4 linked regions of the Drosophila melanogaster genome follow. The protein of the gene in region 1 interacts with the protein of each later gene in a pairwise test. Each region holds a gene or a part of one and is shown in the gene's direction. Other genes may lie near its edges.

Evidence for each region.
Region 2: the proteins of Cyp9f2 (region 1) and kat80 interact in a two-hybrid assay, tested with the Drosophila melanogaster proteins (one large-scale study listed by BioGRID).
Region 3: the proteins of Cyp9f2 (region 1) and Hpd interact in a two-hybrid assay, tested with the Drosophila melanogaster proteins (one large-scale study listed by BioGRID).
Region 4: the proteins of Cyp9f2 (region 1) and CG15382 interact in a two-hybrid assay, tested with the Drosophila melanogaster proteins (one large-scale study listed by BioGRID).

The regions. Positions count from the first base shown.
Region 1 is NT_033777.3:12,402,176-12,408,329, reverse strand, and holds Cyp9f2 (cytochrome P450 9f2), read left to right. Parts: upstream 1-2,301; 5' UTR 2,302-2,421; coding exon 2,422-2,627; intron 2,628-3,440; coding exon 3,441-3,960; intron 3,961-4,021; coding exon 4,022-4,679; intron 4,680-4,736; coding exon 4,737-4,903; 3' UTR 4,904-4,990; downstream 4,991-6,154. Other genes in the region: CG5167 (uncharacterized protein), read right to left, coding at 311-1,606; Sol1, read right to left, coding at 5,450-5,792, 5,849-6,050, 6,120-6,154. UniProt on the Drosophila melanogaster protein: May be involved in the metabolism of insect hormones and in the breakdown of synthetic insecticides.
Region 2 is NC_004354.4:16,272,233-16,278,416, reverse strand, and holds the start of kat80 (katanin 80), read left to right. Parts: upstream 1-2,236; 5' UTR 2,237-2,301; intron 2,302-2,499; exon of another isoform or gene 2,500-2,663; 5' UTR 2,664-2,850; coding exon 2,851-2,884; intron 2,885-3,725; coding exon 3,726-3,853; intron 3,854-3,915; coding exon 3,916-4,133; intron 4,134-4,601; exon of another isoform or gene 4,602-4,804; coding exon of another isoform or gene 4,805-5,892; intron 5,893-6,184. Other genes in the region: Prosalpha4 (proteasome alpha4 subunit), read right to left, coding at 1,108-1,525, 1,591-1,820, 1,898-1,999; Mfe2 (peroxisomal multifunctional enzyme type 2), read right to left, coding at 4,805-5,892.
Region 3 is NT_037436.4:20,437,009-20,442,479, reverse strand, and holds Hpd (4-hydroxyphenylpyruvate dioxygenase), read left to right. Parts: upstream 1-2,607; 5' UTR 2,608-2,705; coding exon 2,706-2,708; exon of another isoform or gene 2,709-2,925; coding exon 2,926-2,952; intron 2,953-3,019; coding exon 3,020-3,403; intron 3,404-3,461; coding exon 3,462-4,115; exon of another isoform or gene 4,116-4,179; coding exon 4,180-4,254; 3' UTR 4,255-4,314; downstream 4,315-5,471. Other genes in the region: CtIP (CTBP-interacting protein), read right to left, coding at 4,355-4,540, 4,605-5,226, 5,368-5,471.
Region 4 is NT_033779.5:2,153,510-2,158,331, forward strand, and holds CG15382 (uncharacterized protein), read left to right. Parts: upstream 1-2,243; 5' UTR 2,244-2,273; coding exon 2,274-2,747; 3' UTR 2,748-3,281; downstream 3,282-4,822. Other genes in the region: AIF (apoptosis inducing factor), read left to right, coding at 1-22, 87-901, 964-1,388; aop (anterior open), read right to left, coding at 4,656-4,822.

The DNA.
Region 1 (6,154 bases):
ACCAAACTAATCGAAACAAAACTGTGTCGGTGTGACCGTGCCTGCAAATACTTGGAAACCCAAGAACCAGTTGGAGCACTATTTTTAAAAGAAGTGGAACCGAACTGGTTATAGTAATAAACACATATATAAATATTAATTCTTCCCTGAAATAAATAATAATTATTTGTGAGTAAGCTAATGGCACAAATTAGTTAATCAATAGGTAATGCAAACGTAAATCCAAATTTCATATTAAGATAAATATATTTAACATACATACATACATATATGTATTTTTAATAACATCGAATGCACCTCATTAAAGACACTATTTGTTGGCCACGATTTCAAACTTAATGCCGTGCTCGTGCTTCTCCAGCTCGCTGATGAGACTGGTGCCACGGAAGGCTGCTCCGGGTGGCAGGACTCCGCCGGATCCGGGCATCTTGTCGCTTTCGTTGAGGATGGTCTTCGCCGTGGAGAGCAGTGCAACGCAAGTGGATCCATAGCCGGGATTGGGACCCGTAACCCTCACGGTCAGTGTCTTTGTGGGCGGAGAGGTGTACTGATCGGTGGTCTCGGCTAGTTTTTCGGACTTGGGCCAGCCTGTGGCCTTCATGGTCATTCTGAAGAAGGAGCGCTCCATCCGCGCCTCACTGGGACCCTCGCGGGAAGCCATGCCGCCGGAGAAGACGGTGGGGTACTTAAGCAGCAGCTGGCGGCCAAAGGAGAACTTGGCCATAATGCCAATGATAGAGGCGAAGAGCACGACAACGCTGGCCGCAAACCATGAGGGATACGTCATGTAGGCCTGCATCTGAACGGGTCGCTTCTTCTCCAGTTCGTAAAGGAAACGCTGCGAGCGCATCACCACCGAGCGATCTGTTTCAGGGAACGGCAGGATCACCTTGTTGTCCACTTCCGCGGCACGGGAAAGCGGCGATCGTGACTTAAGAGCCGGATGAAAGTTGGGCAGACGCTCGGGAAACAACTTGCGCCGGATGGCCACAGACTCGCTCCGGTTGGCGATAGCGTGAATGGCGCTCTCCCAGGTGCCGGTGTTGAGTGCAGCACTGCCCGTTCCCTTGGTACCTCCCTTGACGCCCAGATGGACAAAGTTCTCCACTGAGTTGACCACGCCGTCGAAGTTCTTCTCCACGAAGGTGACTCCCATGTCGGCGGGAATGGAATCAAAGCCGCACGCACTGATCACGTACACGCCACGCTCCTTGGCGAGATCATGGTAGCGCAGCTGCATGGTTTCCATGTACTGTGGCTCTCCGCTTACGTCTACGTGATGCGTTCCCGCCTCGATGCAAGCCCTGACCACTCGCTCGCCGAAGAACCGATATGGTCCGGCCGTATTGACTAAAATGCGGCAGCGTTTGGCCATCTCTAGCAGTGACGCCTCGTTGTTCACGTCCGCGATGACGATCGGCGTTTGGGAGAGGTCTGTCTTGGACTTTGCACCCATCTCCCGCAGCACCGACTGCAGCTTCTCCTGGTTGCGTCCGGCGATGCCCCATTGCAGGCCCTTCAGCACGCTGACAGCCTCGAAGACGGTGTACTTTCCGGTAAACCCGGAGGCACCGAAGATTATGGCATCCAGTTTCTTAGCCGCCATTCCAGAGTCCACAGATATGCGACTATAATGATTTGACTAGAAATGTCTTATCACTTCCAGACCGAAAGGTAATTCGTCTGCTTCGGCCGACTGGCGAAATGTTAATAATGCTAATCGCACCGTATAAGAGCTGTATTTATTGAAGATAGTAGCGTCGTGACTGTACAAAACTGAATCGAACAGGTAAAGATCGATTGCAGATAGCAACAAGTGGCTAGTAACTCGGATAATGAAGTTGAAATGAAATAAAATATTTTTACTAGAAACTATTGAAAATGAAAATGCTTTGCGTCCTTTTTTATCGATGATAATTTAATTTATGGTGATGATGGTTTAATTTACATCCTAATACTTAAAATCCCTCAGATCAAATTGTTAGTTCTCGAACTACTACGCATAAACTTCGATAGCCAACAAGAAATCGATGAATTTTAAAACGATAAATTGGCCAAGTTTAAATATATGAATTTAATGAAGTTGTGTGCCATTAAAATAGAAAAAATATATATTAAAGAATTAGAAAACAGAATTTCGAAATATTCTGTTTCTATATTTTAAACATAATATTGGTATGCTCAGAGTCGTCAGCATTTTCTCCAACACGCCGTGATAATGAAATGATGAGTGATATTCTAAATCATTTGCGCTCAGAAATTTGTACATACTTGTGTGTATTACAGACAACAAGTATTTTATCAAATGCAGTACACGAAGCTTTGTTAGAAAGCTCTGCGTGGGGACAACAAAACGCTCCCGATTGTTTGTGGCGTAGTTAGTTATATTCTGGACGCTTAGATCGCCAAGCTAGGGTCAACATGTTGTGGGAGTTCTTCGCCCTATTTGCGATCGCTGCCGCCTTGTTCTACCGTTGGGCGTCCGCCAACAATGATTTCTTCAAGGATAGGGGCATCGCCTATGAAAAGCCAGTGCTCTACTTTGGCAACATGGCCGGCATGTTCCTGCGGAAGAGGGCCATGTTTGACATAGTCTGTGATCTCTACACCAAAGGCGGAAGTAAGAAGTGAGTTAAATTCATTGATCCGGATTTAATAAGTTGATTACCTAATATGCATCCGGCTCACTTGCACTTGCACTTAAAACACGTTTGGAACAAGTGTGTATCTACTGGCCTCCAGCATTGCGTACAAGCCTATATAAAATCGTATGTCAAGGTCAGGCAATCAGTGATCTATCTATACACACATTTAGTGGGTGCGGCTGCGTTCGACTACGTTTTGAATATACAATTACAGAAATTCAGAAATACTCTATTATATTTTGTTAAGTCTTTTATCTAAAGCAGTGTGTAACTGCCAAGATAATTGGCGAAATGCTTGGTTCTATTAGTTTAGTTTGCCATAATCTTATCGATTATACGACAGCTTTAAATGTTGTTTGTCTCGGACGGCAAACTTGATAGGAAAAATAATTGATAAAGCTCCTGAAAAGTGCTATAACGATAAGGTTATCTAATTTATTAATTAACTTCATATTGGGGCAACTCTTTGTATGACTTTACCCTTTTTGTTACTTTATAAACATGCAATCATTATTGTACTCAGCCTTTTCAATTGGATTTAATGTACATATGATTTATTTATAGACCAATACGAGAAATCCGCTTTATAAATTTATAGTTTTCCAAAAAGAAATCGAGATGGGTTAATTGAAAATTCGTCGGATAGGTAATGAACAACGCTAGCCATGCATAAACTCGAATTTCTGTTATCGTTTTCTAAACTTGTTGAGCGCACGATTAATAATTTCTGATTTGATTTATCAGTGTGTGACTCACAAAAAGCTTATCGGTCATTAACATTATTATTTTTTTTAGATTTTTTGGTATCTTTGAGCAGCGACAACCACTTTTAATGGTGCGCGACCCAGATCTTATCAAGCAGATAACCATAAAGGACTTCGATCACTTTATCAATCATCGCAATGTGTTTGCCACCAGCAGCGATGATGATCCACATGACATGAGTAACCTTTTCGGCAGCTCGCTGTTCTCCATGCGAGATGCTCGGTGGAAGGATATGCGAAGCACTCTGAGTCCGGCATTTACAGGCAGCAAAATGCGTCAGATGTTCCAGCTGATGAACCAGGTGGCCAAGGAGGCCGTGGACTGTCTTAAGCAGGATGATTCAAGGGTTCAGGAGAATGAACTGGACATGAAGGACTACTGCACACGATTCACCAATGATGTGATCGCCTCGACAGCCTTTGGACTGCAAGTGAACTCGTTCAAGGATCGCGAAAATACCTTCTATCAGATGGGAAAAAAGCTGACCACATTTACATTCCTGCAGAGCATGAAGTTCATGTTGTTCTTCGCATTGAAGGGTCTTAATAAGGTTGGCACAGCATACACACATATCAAAAAAATATATTCCTTAATTTTAATAATCCTTGTAGATCCTTAAGGTCGAGCTTTTCGATAGGAAAAGCACTCAGTATTTCGTGCGTCTGGTGCTCGATGCTATGAAATACCGACAGGAGCACAATATTGTACGTCCCGACATGATAAACATGCTGATGGAGGCTCGTGGTATCATCCAGACGGAGAAGACCAAGGCATCTGCCGTTCGCGAGTGGAGCGATCGCGACATTGTCGCCCAGTGTTTCGTGTTCTTCTTTGCTGGCTTCGAGACTTCGGCGGTGCTGATGTGCTTCACCGCTCACGAGCTAATGGAGAACCAGGATGTGCAGCAGAGGCTATACGAGGAGGTACAGCAAGTGGACCAAGACCTGGAGGGCAAAGAACTGACCTATGAGGCAATTATGGGCATGAAGTATCTGGATCAGGTCGTCAACGAGGTTCTGCGAAAGTGGCCGGCGGCAATTGCCGTCGATCGAGAATGCAACAAGGATATCACCTTCGATGTGGATGGCCAGAAAGTCGAGGTCAAGAAGGGCGATGTCATCTGGCTGCCTACATGCGGCTTCCATCGTGATCCCAAGTACTTTGAGAACCCTATGAAGTTCGATCCGGAACGTTTTAGCGATGAGAACAAGGAGTCTATTCAGCCATTCACATACTTCCCCTTTGGCCTGGGTCAACGCAACTGCATTGGTAAGTTGATTGATTCAAAATTGTTCTTCGAAAAAATGTAAAATGTATTTATTATAGGTTCCCGATTCGCTCTACTTGAAGCAAAGGCTGTTATCTACTATCTTTTGAAGGACTACCGCTTTGCCCCTGCCAAGAAATCCTGCATTCCACTAGAGCTCATTACTTCCGGTTTTCAGTTGTCACCCAAAGGCGGCTTTTGGATTAAACTTGTTCAAAGGAACTAATCTTATAAACGATCAAAATAATAATATGTTTTGTTGAATGTTATGTTTTAAAGAAGTTGACATTATTAAATTTAAACAATTAATGGTAATTTGTTTCTTTGTTTTTAATTTATACCAAAAATGATAAAAAGATAGCATATACTTATGTCGTGACTCTACAAAACTGAATCGAACAGGTAAAGATCGATTGCAGATAACAACGAGTGGCTCGTTTACACGGTAACTCTGATAATGAAGTTGAAATTAAATAAATAATTTTTACCAGAAACTATTGAAAATGAAAATGCTTGGCGGAGTTTTTATCGATGATATCACGTTTAATTTACATCCTAATACTTAAAATCCCTCAACTTAAATTGTTAGTTCTTGAACTACTACGCATAAACTTCGATAGCCAACATGAAATCGATTGCTTTTAAAACGATAATTTGGCCAAGATTAAATATTTAAATTTAATGAAGTTGTGTGCCATTAAAATAGAAAAAAATTATTAAAATTTATTAAAGAATTAGAAAACAAAATTTCGAAATATTTTGTCTCTATATTTTAAACATAAGATTGGTATGCTTTATAAGTGCATAAGATACATGCAATTAATTTGTTTACATTTGCAACCGGCTGAGTTGACGCTGTTGAGACGAAACTCTGCATGGAGGCATTATCCCGAAGATCGGTGATGGAATTATTCACTGAAACGGTTTCAAAGGTGTACAGGGCGCGGAATCCGATGGCCACAAAGCGATCATTGGAATGCAAGGTGACTCGAAAGAAACGTCCATCAGAACGCATTTCAAAATCGGGAAGCTTTCCGCAGTATCTGCTGAACTTTCGATCCGTGCTCATGAAATTGGAAAACTCGATGTAATCGCTGGCGGTTTGGTGGTCACAACTGCACAGAAAAGGGGATTAAACATTTTTAGGTGATAGTTTAGATAAAGATCTTACCTTCCAATGCCCTCGATATCGAAATATGTGAAGTGAAGCACAACTCTTTCGTCACTTGCTCCGTAGAAATAATAATTGCACACAACATTTTCCAGGTAATATCCGGGAAAATTCGGAGAGTGAAATAGGCCACTTATTCGCTCGCTGCTATTGTAGACAAAGGAACATCCTTCCTTTTGAATCCCCGACATGATACCAAAATCTTGAAAATAAGCCAATTTTTAAATAAATATCAGTCTTTATTTGATTAAGACTCAGTGGAAACACTTACTGGTTAAGAAACGGTACTCCGCGCGAAATCCGTAG
Region 2 (6,184 bases), on another chromosome or scaffold:
GCGGGCGATGCAAACGATTCGGTTCCGACTTGGAATATATAGCTGCCGAACTATCGGTGCAACAATCGGATCGCTCAACCGGTCGCTCCATCTGCAGGGAATACCAAAACGCCTCAGTTAAGTGGCGCGCGAATGAAGGTACTTGCGCTTAGCCACCAGCTGGGCACACTGCACGAGCCTGCATAGAGTTTTTTACGAAATTATCACAATTTAGGAGTTTTCCAATTAGAATTGGAATAAGTTCGTACTCTTAACTTGCTAACAAGTTGATTTTTAATGCAAAACTTTTCGCAGACAACTTTTCGACAAGAACAGTGCTGCCAGACTGTCAGACCGGCACCTTACTGGCGTGTTTTTATCACATTTTCTAATATTTCCAAGCTATTGAAATATTCCAAAGCTTTCTATCTGCACATTCTTTTTATATAGGTGTTCCCAGAAAATCGCCTTAGCATGGAGAGTCGTGCTAATACGGCGTTGCCAGACTGTCATTGCATTTCTTGTTGCTCTTTGCAAGAGCCCGCCAAATGAAATTTTTATTTGAATACAATTTATTTTTTTCTTCCCCCGTTCTTTTGCTTGTATAATATCCCAACTGGAAAATGTGTACTTTTCAATTACGAAACATGTACAATATATAGCAATAAAGTCCAGTAAAATCGTGGTATGTTTACAATTACTTTTTTGGGCCTGATGATACGTTGCCATTAAAGTGCAATGTCATACCACTAATGTAAGTTTTTTAACCCTTTATACCCCCCAATAGCTTGCCCATAATCCTCCCGTGAACAATCTTGAATCCCAAATGCAAGAACAAAGTTCGAATATTCAACAGGAGCTCCGCCTAATGTATGATGACGCATGTATTTTATACAGATCAAATATTTTCATACCGTTTTACAGGGTTCCGAAGAATAGAAAGTGGTAATTAAAAAAAGTATGCATTCGGTTCACCGAATTCAATTTGAATCGTTTTCCAAGTCAAATCAGGTTGGCTACAATGAGCAGACAGAATGTGGGCGGCGACACCAGATAGTGTCGCCGAATGCATGGAAAGCGATTCAATGCAACGGCCTTCCATCGAAGAAGTGTCCCAGCTGCTGGGTGTTACTTTTTCTGTTTCTTCTTCTCGAGCTCCTCCTCCTTCTCCTTCTCGATGATCTTAACATAATCGGTAATGACATCGGTGTCCAGCATTTTCAGTGGCTTGCCGTTCTCCATGATGGCCACCTCCAGATTGTTCTGGCCTGACTGCGCCACCTCGAGCAGCGCACGGATGGCCAGTTTGACGGCTCCGTGCTCGTTGGCCACCTCCTCCTCGCGGTAGGACTTCTCGAAGAACTCGCGCACAACCTTTGCCGATCGCCCGGTGGCGTTAGCCTTATACTCGTAGAAAATGCCCGACGGCTCAGTCTGGAACAGATGCGCAGAGCCATCGGCATCGAAGCCGCCAATAAGGCAGGAAATACCGAAGGGACGGCGGCCATTGCTCTGCGTGTATTTTTGTTTCAGCTGGGCAATGAATCTAAAATGAAAGGCCAAAACCATATAGAAGCTAATTTAGAGCGCAACTATTTCACAAATCCTCACCTGGTTATGTACTCGAGGGTCACGGGATCCTCGACATTGAGACGATGGCTCTGGCACTCCACCTGGGCACGATTGATCATGATGCGAGCGTCGGCCGTGAGACCGGCAAAAGCCATTACAACGTGGTTGTCGAGCATGCAAATCTTGCGCACCTTTCGATCCTCCTGCAGTTGGGCCACCGACTTCTTCTCCACGCCAAGCACAACGCAGTTGGCGCCGCGAACTCCGACCTGCGAGGCGAAAAATTGGAAAAGTCCATGTTTGTTTCGGTTTGGCGGCACTGCGAACGGTACTAAATTGCACTTACCGCAGTCGATCCCTTGCGAACGGCCTCCTGGGCATACTCCACCTGCAGGAGGTGACCGTCGGGAGAGAATATGGTTACAGCACGATCGTAGCGTGAGGACATCTTGTTGCTTTATTCAATAGCTGAGGTACTTGCAGAATATTAACTTATAGCTTTTTCCTTCTCGAATTCGCCAGGCAATGATGATGCTTTTTTGAGGAAATGCCGCAGTGTGACCGCAGCATGGGTTCGATGAAAATTACTAAATTAATACCGTTTCGCAGTGAACGATATATCGTTGCTGAAATCATGTATCAGAATCAATTCAATTCTTGTTACTTCAGTCTATTTAATATTCTATTCCATTTAGTCTATTTAAATATTTAATTTAATACTTTTGTAAACCGTTTTACAGCTTCAGGGCTGTAAATAATTTAGTAAAATATCAATTAATTTTTTTTCACATTATCTGTTATTATTGTTATTTAATAATACAAATTTATAATACAAATTATTTTCAATATATATATATATATATGTATTAATAATTATAACCAACGACTGTTACTTAAATGTACAAAATGCAATCGCTATGCCGGCCCTGGTAATCGGTGTTCATCGACAGCTTGCTGCAGCCCTCGTCGTCGCTGTAATTACAATGTGATGTGCATTTGTTTTTGTTAATAAGAATTGTCCGATTAAACATTTAGATTATCTGTTTTTAAACAATGCGATCACGGTGATATCGGTTCGTAAAGGTTTTACACACCGTGTGATTTTGTTTCAGTGCGTTTTGTTGTTCGTTTCGTAAATAAGTGGGCTTCATTTTGCCCAAAAAAGACGGGAGCCCAGACAGCTGATCACAGACTTTGGCTCACACCTGCTACAAAAAGATAATATTTATTCGAAAACCTGGCATTCGGATCGAATTTAGCAGCTGCCAGCGTATTTATATAAGAACAATTTGATTGATTATGGCGCTGCCCAGAAAACTGATATCCAAGATCTGTAAGTAAACCGAATGTTCGAAAGTACCGTTGTATATTCCCACACACACACAAGCACGTAGAAATACGACTGCATGTATATATGTGTGTGTGCGTGCGTGTTTGAAATCCTATCGTAAATTCTAGTGTTGCATGCAACTTCAGTAACTTTTAAAACAATACCACGCGTTCTTATAAACAATGCAGATATCCAATAGGAAAATCCCCAGGTGCACATATGTATGTATGTAGATACATATGAACATTGAGTGCAGCTGCAGCTGAATTGTTCGTTTTAAAGTAATTAATATCTTGTTTTACAACGCAATATCAATATCAAATAAACATCATACGGCTTCTTCAGACTTTAAAATAATATTTGTATATAGCCTTTAGAAAACTTCAATTCAATCCCAAGAACTATAGAAGTTCAAAAAGGTTTTAATCTGGGAACAAGTTTTCAATTTCTTTGAAATGCGTACATTTACGTACATATGTATGTACATATATACTGTACATATGTATGTATGTACATCGATTTCCTAGCTTTATTTTATCTGTTTTGCTTTTCAAAATACTAGTAATCCTTGTCATTCATAAATGTGGATAACGTAAAAGGTACTTATTTATTTATATCGACACAGTTTCCTTTGAAAAGATTCAAAAATCATTATAAAATTGTATTTATTGAGTATATACTAATACGAAAATATCATATTTTTATTATTATATATTTGTTGTAAGTTTTCCTTTTGATCTTGAAAAGCTGTTGTTTAAAGCATAGCTTAATCTGAACATACTAACTATATCATCATATCATGAAAACTTGCCGAAGAGGACTAACCAATTCTCATCCTTTGCAGACGATATAAAGGCACATGATAGCAGGGTCACGAGCCTTGATCTTGGCGAAACTGGACGAGTGCTGGTCACCGGAGGAGAGGATCGCAATGTGAACCTCTGGGCGATTGGTCAAAATGAGTGCTTTATGGTGAATATACTAACTACTTCCTAAATATATGTATGTACTAATCGGTGACCCTTTCCTTTCAGTCTCTGACGGGCCACAATCGTTCCATCGATTGCGTGCGTTTTGCTTATAAGGATAACTTTGTCTACTCCGCCGACGACATCGGTATAATCCGAAGATGGGATCTGAATTCACAGAAAATCTACTCCACGCTAAATGGCCACATGAAGAGTGTTCGCACTCTGGACTTTAACCCGTCTGGAGAATATGTGGTGTCCGGGAGCAATGATACCACCGTCAGGTGAGCCAAGGACCGATATATAAATAGTCAGAGTAACCCATGAGTCATTCGGAAGCTCTAGTTTCCTTATCAAGTGGCAGATTTAAAGTTTATTCGTTGATTGAAAAGGGATGGCGATATTCTCCCTCCCTCTTTTAGCTGTGCTTAATCCTATAGAATCGCGTATTTTGGGTTTAATAATCTACACAAAAGAAAAATCTCATATTTAGAAATTAGAAATTTTATATCGGTTTAATGCACATACATATTAGATGCATTGTATCTATATGGTCTTTTCTTAGATATCACTTGACCTATATATGTGTAAAACAAAGATAATATGACTCACTACATTGCACAAAAGGGGACAGGCTGACAAAGATAATATCACTTTGTGTTGTTTAGCTAAAGTTGATATTTCTTTTGGGATCTCATATATCTTATCTCTCAGATCTATTACATCCATGATCTTAAACAACATTGCATTTTCAGTTATGTGATGTTTTATTGGGAGTTTTATAAAAGTGTTACAAAAAAATACTTCTACCACCACGGGCGTTTAAACAATTGCATATGTATAGGCATATTTGTTATAGTGTATGTACAAAAAAAAACGGACGCGAAACGAATTATAAAGTCAATGATAATCCATTGCGACTAAGGCAGACTATGTGTCTCTAGGTGATCCGCGCTTACAGCTTGGCCTGTGAGCTCTTCAGGTCGACATAGGCGCCGGATATGACCTCCTTGCCGGTCTCCACGACCACGGTGCGGAAGTTGATGCGTGTGCCCTGCTTCCACAAGTCCACGCGCAAAGTCTGGCCCGGAATTACGGGTCCGGAGAAGCGCACTTTGACAGCCTTGAACAGAGCCGGGTTGTTGTCCGCAAACTGAGCGAGCACGGCGCGCACCGAGAAGCCCAGTGTGCAGAGTCCATGGAGGATGGGTGTCTTGAAGCCGGCCAGCAGGGCCATCTGGGGATCGATATGCAGGGGGTTCTTGTCGCCGGACAGACGGTACAGCGCCGCCTGGTCCTCGCTGGTCGTATACTGGACGGTTGCGTCCGGTTGGCGATTGGGCGCCGGCTGCAGCGGAACTACACCAGCGATGGGATCCTTCTTGCCTCCGAATTTGCCAGCGCCGACAATGAAAGTGGTGCTCTGGTTGCGCACCAACAGGCGGCCACTTTCGTCGAACGACTCGCTATTGGTGACGACCACGGCGCCGGATCCCTTGTCCATAACATCGAAGACCTTGCCGTTGGTCAGCAAAGTGCCACTGGTGGGCAGATCGTCAACGATCTCTAGGTACTGTTCGCCGTGCAGAATGTTGCTGAAGTCCACTTGGCTGTTGGGCAAAGCCTTGCTGAGCAGCTTGTCGGTGGACATTTGCAGCAGAAGGCCGGGCAGAACGAAGAAAGTTGGAATGGCGGCGAAATCGGCATCGTTTTCGTACAGGAAGCGCATGTCCTTCGCGTTTTTGACGGATGCCCCAATGCCCAGGGCGTAGGTAATAAGCTCTTTGCTATTGAACTCGAAGGCATCCTCGATGGCGTCGCCGCCGCCTTCCTTGAGCTTCTCAAGCACTTCCAGCAGGGTGCCGGAGGCCTCTGCGATGGCACCCAAGTGCTTGGCCTTGGACATGTCGGTCACATTCGACCACACATCCTTGACGTACTCAATGGTCACGGGGTCGTCCAGCGAAGGACGCAGCACAGCGCCCTTGCCGCGAACCATGTGCAGCTTGGTGGCCCAGCCGGCGGCACTCTCGATATAGCTACCTGTGGATCGGAGAAGAGGGAGAGAGAAAACGTTTAATAAACCCTATATATACACACATGTACACATATTCCTGATAAACGGTCTAAGTTCAAACGCTATCAGTATGAATTTCCCTAATCAGGCAGATTATGTTGACCATTTGGATTGGACTACTGGACATATTAAAGATGACTTAGCAGTGGTTGGCCAAAAATTGCATAATTTTGTAGTTCTCAAAGGGTTAAATTGATACAAATTGATATGATAATCAATTCTGAGATAATGCAATTCTCGCATAACTTCGGATCCCAC
Region 3 (5,471 bases), on another chromosome or scaffold:
AGTTACACACTTTTGATTTTTCTACTGTTTTTACTGCGACTCTTATTATTTTTGGCTTGTTGTTTGGGCAGCGCAGTAAACGCGACTGAAGGATGGAAAGCGTGACGTCGACCGGCGACAGCTTGCGGCTATGGCAACAACAACAACCACAATAGCAAGGACCATAACACAGCACTGAGAAAAAAGTGTGCAGAGTTGCAGATTAGAAATATTTTACTTAGTAAGGATTTTAGCCAAATTACTACCGCTTTATTCCAAGCATTTAACCATAAAATAAGTATTTGCATAACTAGTGAGATTAATATTAAATTGTATATGAATATAAATATAAATAAAGGTAATAAATAAGGAACACAATATTTATGATCTCAATAAGCAAATAGTTCCATGAGCACTTTCAAAGTAAGGTAAAACATTAAATGAAATAAGAGTCACTCCGAATTTCTTTCTGTGCATCCGTTTTGAAGTTACTGACGACAACAATAGAGACCCACATCCTTCTGTCTGGGAATAGTCCTTTTAGAAAGCAACCCCCGTGAGAAACTTTCACTGCTGGCAATGCCGTCTAGCCGAAAGAGCGCAGGACTCACCGCTCCAGCCGCAGAAAAGAGAGAGGTAAAAGGAATCTTAATATCCTTATAGAGCAACAGGCTACCCACATCAAACCCGAAGCCAACCCGAGCTCAGCCAGGTACCGTTCCCATTTCGCCAAGGACAAAAGTTTGCTCAGCTAATGGCAAATCTGAGCGGTTGGGATTTTTATTGGGATAGGTCCGAGGGAGTGCGTCGGGATTCTTTGACTAATGGAACCCAAGGAGCGCCAGGTGTAAAGTAAACAAATAGAAAACCTCGCAGTTTATGAGGGCGATAATGGAATCAATGTTGTGAAAGGGCTTGGGAGGATTTGAAATTAGAAAGTTGCCCCAATTGTGTATTTTCAGATGCATTACTTTGCATGAATGTGAATAGAATGTTCTTTATTAATACGCCTAGGAATTTAATGGGTTTGTTATAGAAGAACCTTTTCAGTCATATGGTTTAATAGCTACAATACCATCTGGAGCAATTTGGCGACAAGGGCCACTTCCAACTCCTACCACTTTTGCCAGATTGTCGCCTATGCAGCGCCCTAATAAGCCAATCATAATAAATGTCAAGCATTGATTTGGCTTCTTGCCAATGACCAATCGACCATCGCCCACTCTTTCCCAACCTATTCCATCCCATCCCCACCTCACCACTTCCATCGGACTGTCAGTTCATCATTAGCAGCTGGGGGAGACTTTGTCTAGGGCTAATCATTAATGCTTAGCTGCCTGAATTGCTCATACGCCATGTGTGCAGGGAACATAGCATGTGGCTGAGCGGCAAAAACTATTAATTTATGGGCTTGTCGCATGTTGCCAAACACCTGACACGAATCGTCAGTCAAAATGATTAAGAGAACTGCCCTATCCCAAAAAAAAGCACAGGGGCAATATCTCGATCAAAAGATCTTTAAAGCAAGCACAAGATAAACTTTTTTTTATTACTATGATAGAAATAAACGCCGTTTAACAATTATGATCTTATAATCTCAACATATTGGCTGCTTGTTGAATTACATTTAAATCTATATCTATATTATCTGTATCATTTATAGTGATGTTGTCTAACTTTAAACTAAAGAATAACGATCACTAAAACGCTCATTCATCTATAAGCAAGATATTCCTAAATACCTATAAAAATAATAGAACTTGCTTAAATAACTAATCCAGTTCCCAAAACCAGTCTTGCTATATTTAAATACAACTGAATTATGCGCTTTCAAATAAAGAAAATAACCATCAAGCTAATGATTTGAAATCCTTTTCCAATCCTCTTAGAGCTATTATCCCCGCAATTAAAAACCGATAAAGGCAATCATCAATTTAGATGATTTGTGACTAGCGTGTGCCGCTTTATTAGATCGTAACAACAAACAGATTTGTTAACCAGTTTTTGTACATTTGTTTTGAGAACCTTGCAAAGCGGTTCTAATGCAAAACAACTTCAATAACGCCCCACATTATGCACTGTGTAACAATGGCAATAACAATAACAATTCAGATAGCATTAACACTCAGTTGGCCCATTGTTTGCGTTTTTGGGGGCTCGAAACTGGAATCAAGTTTAGTACGACTTGGCAACCGATTTTCGAACTCACTAGACTTGACTTCATGAATATTTAGCTGAATTCTGACATGGGCCGAACTTTTGCATAACGAACACATAGTTATCTGTATCTTCATGTAACGAGCTTAAGGAAGTGAAATTTCGAACGCAGAACTTGCAAAGCGCCGCTCAGATACGAAGTAAACAGATTGGAGGCCCGACCCGCATTACAATATTGCAATTCATTCCGCTCGAGATTGCATTAATTAAGTAATCCACCTGTTCTAGTAAACAAATCCATGCAGGTTTAGCTTAAATATGCGATCAATAACCAGCTAGCTAAGATATTCCGATAATATGGCATTCGAAATAAACAAAATACTAGTTTGGCTTATATTTAAATTAGTACAGGATTTTCACCTGATCCACCTACCTGAGCGCCCTATAAAAAGCCTCCGACTGGCTGAGCTCAGGCCATAATCAATTTGAAGATCGTGTAAGATCGACGGAACGAAGAAATCTATATCGCGTGCGAGGAGAGGATTTGCATAAATTGAGTCTGAGTGATAATGGTAAATGAGACGATGGGACATGTGGTGGCTATGTGGTTATGTAACAGCCCTTTAGTGCGAATTAAATGGACTTTAAAGAGTTCTCAAACAGGATTTATAACAAATACTGTCTAACAAAAGCGGATAAACCAATGATAATTATACAGACTTTCTAAGGATCCATTTCAAGGTGATCTAATTCTAATGACTTCTATTATTTCTTTTTAACTACCAACAGACCAGCTATACTGACAAAGGAACCAAAGTAAGTTCGAAAGCGTATGCCAATATTGGAGCGTATAATGCCAACCTACTTTCTTCACTACTTTCAGCCTGAAGCCGGCAAATTTCTAAGCTTTGATCACTTAACCTTCTACGTTGGCAACGCCAAGCAGGCGGCCAGCTACTATACCACTCGACTGGGCTTCGAACCACTTGGCTATCAGGGATTAGAGACCGGGGAGCGACGCTTCGCCAAGCATGCCGTCCGCCAGAACAAGATCGTCTTTGTGTTCGTCTCCGCCTACACGCCGGATGACGAGGAGCATGGACTCCACCTGATGCGCCACGGCGACGGTGTCAAGGATGTAGCCTTCGAAGTGGAGGATTTGAATGCCATTTTCACACTGGCCGTGTCCCGTGGGGCCGAAGTGGTCCGCGACATCTGGGAGGAGAGCGATGATCAGGGATTCGTGAGATTCGCTACCATCAAGACGGTAAGTCCGTGGATTTCATTCTGGAATATTTAAGGATTAATCCTTAACTTGAATGCAGTACGGCGACACTACCCACACTTTCGTGGAGCGCAATGGGTACGCTGGAGATTTCCTGCCTGGATTCCAGCGGTCGCCCAAAGATGTCCTTCTAAACGGATTGCCCTCCACCAAGCTGAACTTCATTGATCACGTGGTGGGCAACCAGCCGGATCTGCAGATGGAGAGCGTGGCCTCCTGGTACGAGAGAATCCTGCAGTTCCACCGCTTCTGGTCCGTGGATGACTCGCAGATTCACACGGAATACTCCGCCCTGCGGTCCATCGTGATGGCAAACTACGAGGAGACGGTGAAGATGCCGATCAATGAGCCAGCCAATGGGAAAAAGAAGTCACAGATCCAGGAGTACGTGGAGTACTACGGCGGCGGTGGTGTCCAGCACATTGCTCTTAATACGGATGACATTATCGAGGCGGTGAGCAACCTAAAGGCTCGAGGAACCGAGTTCCTGACCATCCCATCCTCGTACTACGAGATCCTTCAGGAGCAGCTCTCGCACAGCCGCACCAAGATCAAGGAGGACATGGAGGTCTTGAAGAAGTTGAACATTTTGATTGACTTCGACGAGAACGGATATCTGCTGCAGATCTTCACAAAGAACTGCCAGGATAGACCGACCCTCTTCCTGGAAGTTATCCAACGCTACAATCACAATGTAAGATTTATTGCTTAACCTACTGTTGCTAAGAACAAGTAAATCATGATCATTACTATTTCAGGGATTTGGCGCTGGCAACTTTAAGTCCTTGTTCACGGCCATTGAAATTGAACAAGCCAAGCGAGGAAACTTGTGAATCAAATGTGATCAAATTGAGAACTAACAAAATCAATAATAAATGAAATGGTCTAAACTGAAAAACTATTTGTAAATTGATTGCCTAAATGTCATTTGTTTTATCTCTGGTCCCAAAACCGAGTGTCTATCAACACTTCGTTGCGTGGATCGCCTTCTGCGAAGGAAACCATGTGTGGATTCCAGAATCCCGGCGGAGTTGAACTGCGAGCGTCTTCATGCCGGCACTTTGCCAAATAATCTTTGATCTTCTCGTCTGTCAGATTTGAACCCATAAAATTGATGAACTAAGTGGATCGAATTTGAAATAAATATTATTTAGTTGTGGATGGTCGAGAAAATTGTACATACCTTTTCGCACTCGACGCACTCAATGTTAAAACGTTCTTTGACCGTCGCCTCAGGTTCCTCCTTGATCAAAATCGGTCGCGGAAACTCCTCCTCCGAATGCCTACTATCCTCTTCTTTGATATCCATAAGATACTTTTCAATATCCTCGGGCAGTTTTGTTGATTCGTTGCCTAAGTCTGTTTCTGGCTGGGATATAGGTTCCATTTTCACGACTTTGGTAATTGGAATGACGCTCTCAACTTTTGGGGCATTTGGTAGGTTTTGCTTCTGCTGGTCAATTATAACCTTCTCGTACTGTCTTAAAGCACTCGAGCACGTGTCGTCATCGTCCTTCATAATTTCGGCCAGAACATCCATGGTGCCCAGTTTGCTCACATCTTCGAGTGTATCATTCACAAAGATTATATCCTGGGTCGCAGGCGTCAATAAAACTACACTATCCGAGGTGTTGCTGATCTTTAAACCTGGCGGCGTGTTCGGTGGGGGCATTATCTGATCTTCCGAGCTGTCCAATTTAAACTCGTCCATGTCCAACTGAAAACTTGGTTTTATGGTCTTGACTGTGCTATTGCTGGTGGTGGTAAGCGAGTCGTCTGCGTTTGAAACGCTCGTGTTGTCTGTTCTGCAACCTTGGCATTTAGTATTAAAAAGAAAGGCAAATGAAAGTGTCACAGCAATCTTAAGAAAGGAAATTCGATCTTCGAGCAATGTAATTGAAAGATATTTCTGTGACACTTTTGGAATAATTCGTAGGGATAATTACCTCTGCATTAAAGATCTCGGCGGCCTAGATCTCTTCAGATTGGTGCTCAAATTGGGACTCTCCTCTATGACTTCCTTTTCACTGGTGCTCGTCCTATTTGCTTC
Region 4 (4,822 bases), on another chromosome or scaffold:
AATGGACGGGATCCGAGAGAAGGTAGGTCTGAATAACTTTTTTTATATAATTGAAACCCATTAAGTTATTCCCTTCCTGTTCACAGCTTGTTCTTTGAGCCGGATGAGTTTTTCATTGACCCCGAGGATCTGGATGATAATGCAAATGGAGGGATTGCCGTCGCTCAAGGTTTCTCTGTGAAGAAGGTGGACGCTCAAAAACGCATAGTGACGTTGAACGACGGTTACGAGATAAGCTACGACGAATGCCTAATTGCCACCGGCTGTGCCCCCAAGAACCTGCCCATGCTGCGTGATGCTCCGCCCAGCGTGCTCGAAAAAGTAATGGTCTATCGCACACCCGATGACTTTGATCGCCTCCGCAAATTGGCGGCGGAAAAGCGTTCAATCACAATTGTTGGCAATGGATTTATCGGCAGTGAACTGGCCTGCTCCCTGGCACACTATTCCAGAGAGAACAATGGCGGTAAAGTGTACCAGGTGTTCCAGGAAAATGCCAACATGTCAAAGGTCCTTCCAAACTACTTGAGTCGCTGGACGACGGCAAAGATGGAAGCCCAGGGTGTCTGCGTCATCCCCAACGCCAGCATTCGCTCGGCAGTTCGCGATGAAACCAATCTAAAGTTGGAGTTAAACAATGGAATGACTTTGATGTCGGACGTGGTGGTGGTCTGCGTGGGTTGCACGCCAAACACGGATCTCGCGGGACCCAGCAGGCTAGAGGTGGACAGAAGTCTCGGCGGTTTTGTGGTTAATGCAGAGCTGGAGGCCAGGCGGAACCTGTACGTGGCCGGTGATGCTTCCTGCTTCTTCGATCCTCTGCTGGGCAGGCGACGGGTGGAGCACCATGATCACTCGGTGGTCTCTGGTCGGCTGGCCGGCGAGAACATGACGGGAGCAAGTAAGTTACTGGGCTTAAAGTTAATAACCGATCGATCATAATGTTCGCCGTACCTTTTGCAGAGAAACCTTATCAACATCAGAGCATGTTTTGGTCCGATCTAGGTCCAGAGATCGGATACGAGGGTATTGGCTTGGTGGATTCCTCGCTACCCACCGTTGGTGTGTTCGCCCTGCCCTCGGAATCCGCCACGCGCGTTGACCAACTGTCTGAGTCTAGTGATTCCGACGTGCCGGAGACCAGTACGAGTTCCAGCCAGTCGTCAAAATCTGATGCCGGGGCTAGCCAAGATGGCGTTACCTGTGATCCCGATGAGGCGGGCAACTATGGCAAGGGTGTAATATTCTACTTGAAGAACGACAAGATCGTCGGCATCCTGCTGTGGAACCTCTTCAATCGGATAGGCTTAGCTAGGACAATAATCAATCAGAATAAGAAGTACGATGACCTCAATGAGGTGGCCAAACTGTTCGAGATTCACGCGTAGAGAACAGCGAGTCCCGAGGGACCATGGAGAAGATCTGGCTACCCTGATATGCTTATCAGCACGCACCGAACAGAACCTATCCAACCCGAATGCCTTTAACTGTGTTTACTGTGTACATTTGCAACTGCAACTAGATACGAACGGCAATGACGCAATGCAACAGAAATTTTAGTTTTATTATTTTTGGAATAAACCTTATTTTGTAGTCAACGACATTGATTCGGTTATGTAGCAGCAAAGTGCATATCTCCGTGTAAATATTGAAAAGTCGTAGACAAGCGGGTCTCTGTTGAATTGTGTGTAACTTTCGTAATAAACCAAGCACCAGAAAGTTGTTGACAAAAAATTCACCGTACCAACTAAACTGTTCAAATTATTCATTTTCGGTGTTGAAAAATCCGCTTTTTGATCCTGAGGCACCCGTTATTTAACTAATCCTAAGAGATTTTGCTTTGATTCTTATTTAAATAAATCGTAGGAACTTTGGAACTTATTTTTTTTACTTCAATCATATAACCCATTTGTTTATTGTCCGAGTTGTCTCACAACGGCACAGAATTTAAATGTACATATTTTTTTGGAATTTTCCCAGAATTTGACTAAACCATCTGCCTTATAAAAGACGAGCACCTGGTTTAGGGTTTTAGGCTGGATTAGCTGAATATAGCGAGGATCAATAAAATTCGCGAAATATTATTTTCGCTGAAGTAGGATCCTACCTGACTTCTTGTGCCAAAGGTGGTTACTTATTAGGGCCACTCGGATTACCGACCAATTGGTAGGTAGAGCCCGAGAACGGGTGGCCCATAAGCAGGTACATCCTTGGGATATATAAACTTTGCCCTGAGACAAGCAGGACATCAGTTCCTTCTCGACAGTCTAATCATGAAGTACCGCATGTTGAATAAACGCAAACAGGCGACTCCCTCGCCAGTAAGAGATTCCGACGCAGCCGACGTAGCCATGGCCAACCACAGTGCTCTGGAACTGGAGGCGGCTGCGGCTCTCTTGTTGCTCCGCTACCAATACGATCGACAAGTGTGCAATAACATTATAACCTACACGGAGTCCTGTTCCCCGACTCCACCGCCGGCAGTTGCTGACAACACGACGCCAAAAGATCAGACTGTTCGTCCGCCAGTCGCCAGCCAGCCGCTGAAGAAGCGCTCCATACCATCGCACATCCTCCGCAGATCCCTGACTCCGGCCAAATCCGAGACTTCAGTGAGCAACAAGTCGATAGTCAAGGCCAAGACGAGGACTCCAATTCCCAGTAAGGAGCGAAACTGCAACAGGACCTTGCTTAAGTCCTGCAGAAATATGATTCGAGAGTTTTTGGACAATCAGGAGTTTATCTAAAAAAAAAAGTTTAACTATGTATCCTAGGATAACCGCCTGAAACCAATTCTACATTTGTAATTTTACACAAATCAAGATTTTAGAAATCTTCGCAAAAAACGCCACAGTGAATTGCACGATTGCAGAAAAGATCGAAACGAAATCCTTAAACAAATGTAGCCCAGTATATAACAGTCCCGAGAAAGATGAAGGCGATCGATCCTTGGGATCTTGGATTTCAGTTTTCAATTTATTTATTGCATATAAATTTGTTTCCTTTTTTATACATATATAAATTATGTATTGATCGAAAGATAACGTTTTCAATGGAAGAACAGGTATTGTGGCGACACTAGAGTGCTAATTATTAGCTATTGGCGGTGTTTAAACTTAAGGCGTACGAAAAACAAATAGAAAATTAACTTTAGCGTAGATCTACACAATAATTAATAATTACAGTTGCACTACAGGCTAATTGTATGAACGTGCAGCGATGATATCTTCTCCTAACTCTGTTCATTCCGTTTAATGTAATTAATAAAGTGCTTCAAATGTACATTTTCTATTGTTTCATTGTGTTTTTAGCGGGTGAGTGCGTTGTGGGTGGTGGTGGGTTGTGGAAGTGTGGTGGTAAGATCGTAAGCGTTTTACAAACTAAAGTTGTTAATGCTTAAATGAACACCTTCATTTGCTGCCACAGCGATTGCAGCCACTTAAACTAGCGTACAAATAATAAAAATAAAATTAAGAGCAATAGAAAACTAATGTGTATACATATATGCTTGTGTGTATCATCATTGCTATATTAAAATGGAAGCCAATGTTTTTCTATCCGTGTTTCTTGTTGCAGTGTATCTAGGGCTAGGGGCTCAATTGAAATTGAATTTTGAAAGCTCTTTTTCCAGGCTGATCTTGAAGCAAGAGCAGACCCATCCTCGCACGAAGGATCGCCAAACTGTTGCAGGATGGCTTTTTGGAACTGCTCTGGTTTCGTTAGCATTCAGCCAATGTGAATCAAAGATAATTCTGTTGTTATCACACGAAATCAATTTGTCTTGTTGTATACAAAAACTCTTTCTATGCTGATTTGTATATTAATTAACAATTTCGACAACAATTCAAATTTCATATTTCCTTCACATTCTCTCTTTAGATTTTAACAATATTTGTTTGTTTTTTGTTCTTTTTTTTCGTTTTCATAAATTTGAAACCATTGTTGAGGCAACATTTGTAAAGCTCAAAGGTGGCAACACTTACGGTCTAAGCTACTGGCTAATTTCTACTCCTTATTCGCTACTTATTACTTATACGATTGATTATGGTTAGGCATATTTTTGTTTATGTTTTTGTTTGATAAATGTAGAAATTGGCACATAATCGAAGGCTGCGCTGCGCCGGCTCAAGAAATCTACTTACAACAACGAAATTACATGCACTCTGCTCTTGCTTAGCTTAGCTTAATAAATACGCTTGATGTATAAAATAAATGTATTTATGTATGATTGTTTGTTGGTTTATGCAGATGTGATTTCTATGTACAGAAAGTCGGAAAGGTCGTTTGACAGCCGCAAAGAAAGTATAAAGCAGCAATGGTTAGAAGAAGCCTTTGATCAAGAATTGAATTGAATTGAATATTGAATATCAAGTTTGTGTAAGAAAGAAATACAAGATGGTTTTCATAATTTCTCTTAAATTTCGAAATGAAATTGCTACACAATCTTCAATAATGAGTTTTCCGTTTCGATTGCATTCTAAGCGACCCATCCTAACCGAAAGGCATCCAGAATTTTATCCAGCAGAGTGTCTGTCTATGTGTCTGTGCGCTTGTTGTGCTGGTCCCACATTATTTAGCTCAGGTAATGTTGTGTGTGTTCAGGAGGGAGTGGAAGATGGATGTAGTGCGGTGATTGTCTCAGGACACTTCTCCTCCTACTGCTGCATGTGTCGGAAGGAGTCCTCCGACTCGCCGCCATTGCAATCGCTTTCCATCGGCACTGGCTGTGCCTGTTCACTGGCCTGATCCATGGGCCTGGGTGAGCTGCTGGCATTGGAGGCGCCTGCCTGCTGGTCATCGTGCTTAGGGGACTGCCCCGCTG